Linked DNA regions of Arabidopsis thaliana. The protein of the gene in region 1 purifies or fractionates together with the protein of each later gene. This does not show direct contact. Each region holds a gene or a part of one and is shown in the gene's direction. Other genes may lie near its edges.

Region 1 (4,432 bases):
CGTTTAGGCAAATTGTGTATTACAACTCTGAAGGTGTTTCTCAATCCAAAATCTCTCCGTTTCTTCGGTTCAATACGGAGTTTCTAATTGAACTCCGAAAAAGCATGGAGAGACAGAACAAACATAGTCCTGTTGTACACAGAAGAATTAACAGTGTCAGAAAAAGTATCCTACACTAAATATCGAAAGCATCATTCCATATTATGGTTAAGACTTAAGAGCGAACCATTGTGCTTTTACCTGCATAGGCAATGGTCACACCCGATATGATTCGTCCTAGAGCTGCCAAGAAGTAAAGACAGATCACAACCTGAGAGACAGAAACAGGCGAAGATAAAAAAAGTTCAGTTTAGAATTCTGCCACCAAGCATAAAACCAGAGAACTGCATTGCATCGGAGTGGTAATTGGCTAAAACCACAACTGACAGGTTCTGTGGAATTTCAGTCAATGGTCTTAACCATCTTTGTCTTCATCAATAAATGCTTGAATGTTGTTATACACATTTCCTATTCATGCAGGCACCGCACCGGGTGATCGAAGAAACTACCTCTTGTAATGCAAACAAGGAAGAAACCAGAATGCACTTGCCTTAACAAAGAGCCTCTTGTCATGTCCTGTTGCTGCAACCCGCAGAACGGATTCAGCTGCTCCAACAGTATTAGCTAAGCGCGCCACAATGTTACAGGCTGTGTCTTGTGATATTTGCCACTCTAATGGATCCACAGGTACCCTTCACACAAAAGTTACTACTTTGTTAAATCATGTGACCCTATAAAGACTGCAAGAGTATTTCAAACAGTGAATCATCAAATCAATTATACTAATAACGCTGGTAATTTCTGCATTGATCAGAGAAGAGGGATGAAAATGATAGAATGATGAGAAATACACAGTTGAAAAACACAACTTTTTCCCCAACGCTCATGGTCATGAAGATCAAAAGCTGTTACATTCAAAGAAACAAAAGATTGAGCTTTGTAGATAATGTGACTTTTAAGAATGCAAGAGTAAATTTAAACCGTTTATATCATCGAATCAAATCACACTTTTATGGTTCCTAGTTCCTTATGTTGAAACCAAAAGCAAAGGCAAGCAAAATAAAACCTTTTCATGTCGTAAACACGTTGAAACTAGCTAGTAGCATCACAACAACAATTCACACGATTATGTGAAAACTAAACACAACAAAAAGCTCACTCATTTTGAATTCTGAACAGATCAAACAGCCAAACAAAGAATTTCTCAATTTGTAACCTTAGATCGGCAAATGGGAGATGTAACAGAAAGCCCAACACTCAAAGAAAGAAAATTTAAGGAGGAAATTAGAGAAACTTACGAGACATTGAGGTGACGAAAAAGAAGGCCGAGAATGGCGAGTGAAGATAAGAGAACGATGAGAACGTCGGAGATGAGCGAGAGAAGAGTCGCGTTGCGATTAGCGCAATGGTGATACACAAGCGTCCCGCTTATCAGCAATCCTATCGCCTTTCCCATTTCCCCCATCTCTTCTTCTTCTCTCTTGAATTTTTGGTTCCGACATTTTCTTTCAGATGAAACTTCCCAAGAGTTTCGGTTTGGATTCCAATTGCTGGTTTGTTTGGTTCAGAATCGATTTTGCCTTTGGCTTATTAAGAAACAAACCAAATTCTTGGTCAGTTTGGAAACCCAGCAATTTCGTAATTAGATATTGTTAATGGTTTTGATTGGTTCAAGGCTTCAAGCCTCAATATTTAGTTCGATATAGCTTATTTAAAAATTTATATGTATTTGACATAAAAGAAATTTTCACTGAAATTGGCGGGTTGAGCCGGCCCGTGCAGTAGTGCAACGCATGGGCGACTCGCGAAAGCCCAGATAGCAAGCTATCTTAGTGGGCTTTCTCCCTTAAAAAATAGAGTTAATATCGTGTGGGCCGATGGCCCACATATCAGATATTAAACTGATAAGAACAGATACTACACTTGATCTTAGCCAAAAGGCCGAGAAAGGTATGAGTTGCGATATGGATACGAAGTGTGTTTTATATCAAACGTGGTAGAGCGAGTGTTTCTTAAACTAGCGATGTGGGACTTTATAAAAACCAAATTGAATGTACGAGCTCTTGTAACTCTTAGAATTAGATCATCCTCCTCCTTCAAAATATAAACTCTGTCATTTGTTTGAGAAGGAGAGCTACTATGGCTACATTCGCAAGGTCTGATTTGCTCTCTATCTAATTTTTTTTTGAAGGATGTTCCTATTTGTGATCTAATTTTGGCCGGATAACTAAATTTGTAAGACTGAATCTGTTGATTCTTCCCCTGGTTTGCGAATTTATGCTTTGTCGATTCTCACTTGTTTGACAATTTTTTGTCCGGTGGAATCAATATTTCGAAATCAGAATGGAATTACATGAGTGTATCAGAATGTAGGTTTCGAACAAACAAGGTTTGTGTTGGCTTTTGTCTTGAGATGATTTGGTTTGGTTTGTAGCTAATTTATATATTTCTGCTAGCCACTATCAGTGGAGCTTGGATCAGGAATATTGGGAAATATCTTTTGATGGAATCAGGTTCAGTTGGAATTTTAGAGTTTTAGATTGGAAATAACATAACAAGTTAGAGATTCTAGCTTCTCACTATTGCTAGAGAGTATTCTGTTAATAACATAAAGGCCTTTGGAGACTACTGCAAAGCTATAGTCTTTTCTGATAGTCAAATTTTGAAATGTATGACTGTCTTTGAGAATACGCTGACGACACACCATGTCGCCCTTCCTCATGATGCAATGGGGAATATAACTTGAGTAAATTAACTGTTTACTTCTGATAGAATGTGACAGCTATGACAAATTCTCCCCTTCCTACAAATCCGTGTGGATGATGCGTAACATTATTCATTTCTACAACTTGGCCAATCAGGTATCGATCTTGAGTTATCAACCTTTTTTTGCGTGTTTCTTTTGGTTTTTGAAAACTTTGTATATTTGTGATCGATAACACAGGCTATTGACAGAGCAGCTGGAGTGGATGGCTCAGACGGTTACTTACACTCTCATCAAACATCGCTTGGGAGATCTTTTCTACCGCTTAGTGTAAGCAAATCTTCTACTGATGAAGCTGTTTTCTCGGTTAGATTTTGTTTAGAAAAGAAATCAAGATCTAAACTTAGAGTTTTGGTTATTTTAGGTTTCAGAAGTTTGAAGATCCAGCTGAGGGAGAAGATACACTTGTAGCCAAATTCAAGAAACTGTAATAATGATCTGACTTCTGGAGAACGCGCCTTGGAAGATGGAACTCGAGAAGCAAGCAGTTTTCAGAAATCGGAAGTATTCGAGCATCGAGCATCATCACAGTGGGGTAATGATGAGTCCATGAATCCAGGTTTTGAGCCCGAAAGAAATAAGTGGTTGTTGTGATATATGTTCTCGCTTCCTCTCTTCATGATTTCATTTATTTGTTGGTGTACAGACAAAAGGAATATTAACTCTTACGACAAGGTTCAAAAAGGTTAAATATTCTCACAATTTTTTTAAAGAAGTTGAGAAATGCAGAAGAAATATTCCAAGAAAATGTGTTTTTGACATTACAGATTTGCGATCACATCATTCAAAAGTTAAAGGGACTAAACATAACAGACATCCAAAGTAGTCGTTTAACGATGCAAAATAGATAAGCAGAGTAAAACAAAGACAAGAAAGAATTATATTAACCAGGTCCGACTTTAGGGATATCGTAGTGCTCACTCATGTTAGCCAGATACTGATTGAAATCCTCAATCCTGTTACGGTGAGACTTGTTCGCTTCCTTAGCTAGCTTCTGCACATCCAATCTTTGTTTCTGCTCTATGTATCGCCTTTCTGCTGGCGTTAAGTGATCATCATCATCGAGCTGCTGCTGCAACTTCGCATCCTCGCTTGCCTTTTCACTCCTGTTCATTTCTTCATCTCCTTCTTCTCCTTCAATCAATTTACCCAATGCTTCAGTGCTTTCTCCTATACCCAAACCCAAAATAGCCAAACAACAATTAATTGACTCTCCTTTGTCGATGAATGTTGATGAACAGATTAGTTATGGTTATGAGAAGAGAGCTGTTGTTTCTTACCTTCTATGAGTTCATGATCAGTAATTTTAAGAGCTTGTTCTTCCTGTCTCTTATGTTTCTTCTTCTTCTTTACTCCACCTGCTTTCACATCCAAAGCCTTCCCTTTTAGCTTTAGCTTCCCACCAATAACATTGTCGTATGCCGACATCTCTTGGCTGCTAGTCAGAACAAAGTACCACACAAAACATACATTCAAGTTAGAAAGCTTGAGAATTGGTGATTTCTCGAAACACTGATAAGCAAAACTACCAACCGACTTAGCAAACGGAGAGCACATATCATCAGTATACATATAATCAAAATTCTTTGAAAGGTTCCAAAATCTCTAACTCTTTCTTTCTTTCCTTTG
Region 2 (6,071 bases), on another chromosome or scaffold:
AACTAGTATTCGGATTTAAATTTGGTAATATATATCATAATCGTCAAGATTTCAATTTGGAACTATAAGTACCATGAGCAAAACAAATACTCGCGAGGAGAAACAAAATGAATAAGGTAAGTGGAAGTGATAAAGACAGATAGATCTCAGAAGAAAAAAGGGAACACAACACATACCGATCGGAAGGTGGCCGGAAAAATCGTCGGAGCTCCGGTGGTGAGTTTAGATATGTATGTAAACCGACCGTGGGAGATAGAGAGAGAGACTGAGAGAGACTGAGAGAGAATAATGATTGCGTAAAGCCGTAAAATCTGTAATGGTTTTTTTCTTGACGTATTAAGGTGGGTTTTATCAGTCTTTCTATTACACGGTACTGTACTTACTCTCTTAAAAATCTATTTTGTCGGTTTTTTTCCACGAAAATTATTTTCTTCTTTAAACTGATACACATGTATCAATATCCAAATGAAACACATTTTTATACAAATTGAAACATGCAATAAACTACGGAATATCTAAAAAACAATAAAATTAACGGCCCTAAAATTAATTTTAACTAAATTCTTTAATAAAATAAAATAAAATCATAAGTCTATAAAGTATTAGTTATTTTATGGTAGTTTAATGGTTAATAATTGTTTTTTCATATAGAACATAGGAATGTGGTTAAATTTCAGAATTTTAATACACTTTTAACTTAATTATTTGTTTATATGAGGCACTTTAAGTTTTAGAAAACTATAAACACATATGCAAAACATCAAACCAAATTATGTTTTTGCATGTCTTTTGTTGCATGCTCTATATATCCTAACTATTTTTGCTTAGTAGTCCACTAAATTGTTTCGTTTCAATCACAACCACTCAAGAAAATAATTACAATAGATTACTAAAACAAGTTAACAACAGTGTTATTTATTTACTCTTTTTGTCGTAATGCTTTAAATTACATGTCTCTTTCTTTTCATCGGACAACTGTTAGTGTGTTTTTTTGTACATCAGGACAACTGTTAGTTTACTCATGTTTTCTACATTGTACATTTTGGCAGTCAATTTTACGGCACGGTTTCCATTAAAGATATGGACGTCATCTTATGGTAAGCTGCATCTTTTGAGGAATAATACATGTAGACGTCCCTATTTATAATTTTTGTGTTACGTAACTTCCCTTTTGTTATTAATTAAGTGTGTTTATTTGGTCAATTCACTCAATCAAATCAAACCCAACGCCAAACTGCAACTATTTATGTGATTGACGCTTCAGAGTTGAAACTGCCACTTTTGTCAGATTTATTATCTCACTTCCCAACTTTTCTTTTCCGTAACTAGTGAATTTATTCATGGGAAACTAATTTAATGCATGGTATATGATGCGTACAACAAGCAATACTTATATGAAAAAAGATTTAGAAACAAATTGTATTGGCTTAACTAAATCAATTAATCATGTAGCAATTAGGTGATTTGGAGTCTATTCTCTGTTTAGAAAAGTAGTAACTGTTGTCTTTATGAGAGTTTCTGTTTTACTTAGCGGGTAAATCTACTCTAAGCTAGGTGTTTTCATCCACTTAACATGTATTTTATAATCTCATGGTTTTCACAAGTCTTAAATTGTACTTATTAGTTTGGTCTAAATATTACTCCCTTTGTTTCATTATATTGGATGTTTTAGGGATTTTATTTTGTTTCAGATTATAAGATGTTTTACAAGTTTAAATTTAAATTTAATTTGACTATTTGTGACTATTTATATTTTGCAGTTTTCATTATCATTTTTTTTAACAAAATCTAAATACTATTTTTTATATACAAAATGACCTAATATGTATCCATTTACCTTAAACCTCTTATATTTTAAAACAGAGTGAGTACATTCAGTAAGAGAATGGATAAAAACGAATTTGGAATACACAAACTATAAAAGTTTCTTGAGTACTGTTTCTATTATTGGGCCATAAACAGTGAGACAAACAGGCCCATAGAAGTAGGTGAAAAAGGCTTATTAAGATCAACGGTTCTCTCGTTACGAATGCAAAGAATCTTCTGGATCCTTTTTCTCTCAGCTACTCTCTCCATTTATCTAATAAACCCTAACCCCTCCTCCCACACTATTCGTTTACACTAACCACTTCCTTATCCACACCAATCCAGAACGTTCCTCAAAAAGCTCCCTCCTTTTCTCTCAAAATGGCGTCTGCAAACGCTCTCTCTTCCGCCTCCGTCCTCTGTTCTTCCCGTCAGGTACAAAGTTTGTTCCTTTTTACCTTCCTTAGCTACTTACTAAAGAAGAAAATGAATCATCTTTCATTACTTTGTTTTGATTGGATTTGACCCTTCAGTGTTATCTATTTTCAAAAACCTTTCTCTATCTGGTTTATTGGGTTTTTGAAGAAAGTGATTGAATTTGACCCTTTAGTTTGTTCTGTTTCAATTCAATTGCTTTTCTCTATTTGGTTTCTGGGTTGGTGAGAAAAGGTTAATTTTTATGGGAATTAGAAGAAACTGATTGAGATTAATGTTAATGAATCTGCTTTATTGATGTTGTGGGTATACAGAGTAAGTTGGGAGGAGGAAATCAGCAGCAAGGTCAGAGAGTTAGCTACAACAAGAGGACAATCAGACGTTTTAGTGTTAGAGCTAATGTAAAGGAAATAGCTTTTGACCAGCACTCTAGAGCTGCTCTACAAGCTGGTATTGATAAGCTTGCTGATTGTGTTGGTCTCACTCTTGGCCCTAGAGGTATTTGTTAATATTAGTAGCTCCTTTACTCTTTCCATCTTCATCTGTGTTATTTATCTTTCGACTTATCTTGGTGTTTTCATTTGTTATTCTTAAGGGAGGAATGTTGTGTTGGATGAATTTGGAAGTCCTAAGGTTGTGAATGATGGAGTCACCATTGCTAGAGCTATTGAGTTACCTAATGCCATGGAAAATGCTGGTGCAGCGCTTATTCGTGAGGTTGGTGTAGCTTTGTTATTGTCTCTGTTAATGCTATTTATACGGTGCGGTAATCTGGTGTTGTTATGTGGTAGGTTGCGAGTAAGACTAATGACTCTGCTGGTGATGGGACAACCACTGCGTCTATCCTTGCTCGGGAGATAATCAAACATGGATTGTTGAGCGTCACTTCTGGTGCGAATCCCGTTTCACTCAAGAGGGGAATTGATAAGACTGTTCAAGGTCTGATCGAAGAGCTTCAGAAGAAAGCTAGGCCCGTGAAAGGTCGTGATGACATCAGAGGTACTAACTTTGCAGTGACCTTCCTTGTGATGCAGCAATGTTTGATTTCTTTTACTGATCAATCTGTTCTTTTTTTTTTTTCCAGCTGTGGCTTCTATCTCTGCTGGAAATGATGACCTTATAGGGTCAATGATTGCTGATGCCATCGACAAAGTTGGACCTGATGGTGTTTTGTCCATTGAATCTTCATCTTCTTTTGAGACCACGGTCGAAGTTGAAGAAGGGATGGAGGTATGAGTTTTTTTGTCTTGCTTCTCTTCAACTGTAATTTTATTCACCATTCATTGCCAATGACTAACTTGATTATTTACAGATTGACAGAGGTTACATCTCGCCTCAGTTTGTTACAAACCCTGAGAAACTACTAGCTGAGTTTGAGAATGCTAGGGTATTGATCACTGATCAGAAGATCACTGCGATCAAAGACATCATCCCTATTTTGGAGAAGACCACTCAGCTTCGTGCTCCGTTGTTGATTATTGCAGAGGATGTTACTGGTGAAGCCTTAGCTACCCTTGTCGTGAACAAGCTTCGTGGTGTCCTCAATGTTGTTGCCGTTAAAGCGCCAGGATTTGGAGAAAGAAGAAAAGCCATGCTTCAAGATATTGCAATCTTGACAGGTATATGCAGATTTCGCGTGCGTTTAGTACTTTTACTTTCTCTCTGTTATGGTCTAAACTTTTTATCATTTTGTATGTTTTTCAGGAGCTGAGTACCTAGCCATGGACATGAGCTTACTGGTTGAAAACGCAACCATAGATCAATTGGGTATTGCCCGAAAAGTCACGATTAGCAAAGATTCGACTACCCTCATTGCAGATGCAGCTTCCAAGGACGAATTACAAGCTCGGATTGCTCAGCTGAAGAAAGAACTATTCGAGACTGATTCTGTGTATGACTCAGAGAAGCTCGCTGAGAGAATTGCGAAGCTATCTGGAGGTGTTGCTGTCATTAAAGTCGGAGCAGCAACTGAAACTGAGCTTGAGGACCGTAAGCTTCGTATCGAGGATGCAAAGAACGCAACATTTGCTGCTATCGAGGAAGGCATAGTTCCAGGTGGTGGTGCTGCTTTGGTGCATCTCTCCACTGTTATTCCCGCCATTAAGGAGACTTTTGAGGATGCTGATGAACGTTTGGGAGCTGACATAGTACAAAAGGTAGCATTTAGTTTTTCGGTTCAGTATTTGTTCTGTAACCAATTGTGACTAGTTATCTTATAAGGGTTTATGTTTTGAGTTCAGGCATTGCTGTCACCAGCTGCTCTTATTGCTCAGAACGCTGGAGTTGAAGGAGAAGTTGTTGTGGAAAAGATTATGTTCAGCGATTGGGAGAATGGGTACAACGCAATGACTGATACATATGAGAATCTGTTCGAAGCTGGAGTGATTGATCCGGCTAAAGTGACAAGATGTGCGCTACAGAACGCTGCTTCCGTAGCAGGAATGGTACTGACCACTCAGGCCATTGTTGTTGACAAACCGAAACCCAAGGCTCCTGCTGCTGCTGCTCCTGAGGGTCTCATGGTGTAATCAAAACACAACATCTTATCATCACAATGGCATCTTTGTCTTTTTGCACATTTGTCATCCCCATTTATCTGCAATGTTTTTCTTTTTTGGGGGAATATGAGTAGTTTGTTAACAGTATCGAGAAATAATTATCATCTTTTTTGTCCAATGGAAATTGCAGAAAATGGTTATGTATGCGACCAAACATTTTATATGTAGCGAGAGTAGTTTAGCAGAACAATAAGCAAATATGCGTACAAACTGAATAATGTTCCAACTTACTATACTATTAAACTAGGAGGGAACAATGTTTTTTCATGCCTTTACTAGTTTTCTCATAAAACTTGATCTGGATATTGCACTTCGATGATCTACGAACCATTAGCAGATCTCCGGTGATTCGATACTTCTCCTTGTCGTTTATTGCACAGGCACGAACTTTGACAAGCACAAGACATGACAGTTTCTCTATGAAATGTCTCATTTCCTCTAGCTCTTCAATTGTTCCTTCATATTCAGTTATCTTCAATACTTTCACAGGACATCACAATCCATATATTCTTGTAAAGTTAAGTATATATACAGGGAGATCAGACTCGTTGGAACCACTCGTACTTTGACTTGGAACTGCTCCAAAACTAAAAGAATTTTTGGTAGATGATTATGTATGTATCCTTCTCTTCCTCCTCTTCTTGTTCTAGCTTTGATGGACTAAAATACTAGTCAAAATTTTGCTTAATATATACCCCTTATTGCTTCTCAGAGATATATCTACAAAACCGAGGATCTTCCATTTTGATGGAATCAACCGAGTCTTGTTCCCGGATGCTTGTCATCGCAGCTAGAGATATTCGAGTGGAAAGGATATAGAGATAGAGTAGAAGGGGAAAAATTCTTGACATACATTTTAGCCAACTCTAAGCGTTTAAAGACCGCAACAATCTCTCTGCCCTTCGATCTTGAAGATCAAGAGGTGATCATCGAGGAGTTGAAAGATATTCCTAGGGTTTCAACAACATCTCACCTTTTGTTCATATGAAAATTCTATGGAAGCTTGGCGAATGGGCAAGCTTAGACTACTTATCTGCTATTATATGTTTTAATCAACTTGCAAAGATTAGTAACATAAAAAAAAATATTAAGAATTCTAGACAAGTTAGACTACTTCCTACAAACGTGTAGTGGAAGGTGCTAATATTTGCCAATACAACATTAATAAGAATCTTTAAGAAACCAATCCATGCCTAGAAATATAAATTTCAACTCAAGCGCCTAAGCAACTTCGCATATTATTCATTAAAAATTTAAAACTTTATTGATAGG

Evidence for each region. Proteins that work in one complex are often made in the same cells at the same time.
Region 2: the proteins of AT1G16820 (region 1) and CPN60A fractionate together in Arabidopsis thaliana (co-fractionation; one large-scale study listed by BioGRID). This does not show direct contact.

Annotation. Positions count from the first base shown.
Region 1 is NC_003070.9:5,755,949-5,760,380, reverse strand, and holds AT1G16820 (vacuolar ATP synthase catalytic subunit-related / V-ATPase-related / vacuolar proton pump-like protein), read left to right. Parts: upstream 1-1,727; 5' UTR 1,728-1,916; coding exon 1,917-2,014; exon of another isoform or gene 2,015-2,178; coding exon of another isoform or gene 2,179-2,195; exon of another isoform or gene 2,196-2,821; coding exon 2,822-2,900; intron 2,901-2,983; coding exon 2,984-3,073; intron 3,074-3,167; coding exon 3,168-3,182; 3' UTR 3,183-3,546; downstream 3,547-4,432. Other genes in the region: AT1G16825 (Reticulon family protein), read right to left, coding at 41-129, 241-310, 590-731, 1,338-1,504; AT1G16810 (7-dehydrocholesterol reductase-like protein), read right to left, coding at 3,687-3,973, 4,084-4,231.
Region 2 is NC_003071.7:11,924,416-11,930,486, forward strand, and holds CPN60A (chaperonin-60alpha), read left to right. Parts: upstream 1-2,030; 5' UTR 2,031-2,187; coding exon 2,188-2,241; intron 2,242-2,555; coding exon 2,556-2,739; intron 2,740-2,836; coding exon 2,837-2,958; intron 2,959-3,032; coding exon 3,033-3,240; intron 3,241-3,325; coding exon 3,326-3,471; intron 3,472-3,553; coding exon 3,554-3,860; intron 3,861-3,945; coding exon 3,946-4,397; intron 4,398-4,481; coding exon 4,482-4,769; 3' UTR 4,770-5,073; downstream 5,074-6,071. UniProt on the Arabidopsis thaliana protein: Binds RuBisCO small and large subunits and is implicated in the assembly of the enzyme oligomer. Involved in protein assisted folding. Required for proper chloroplast development.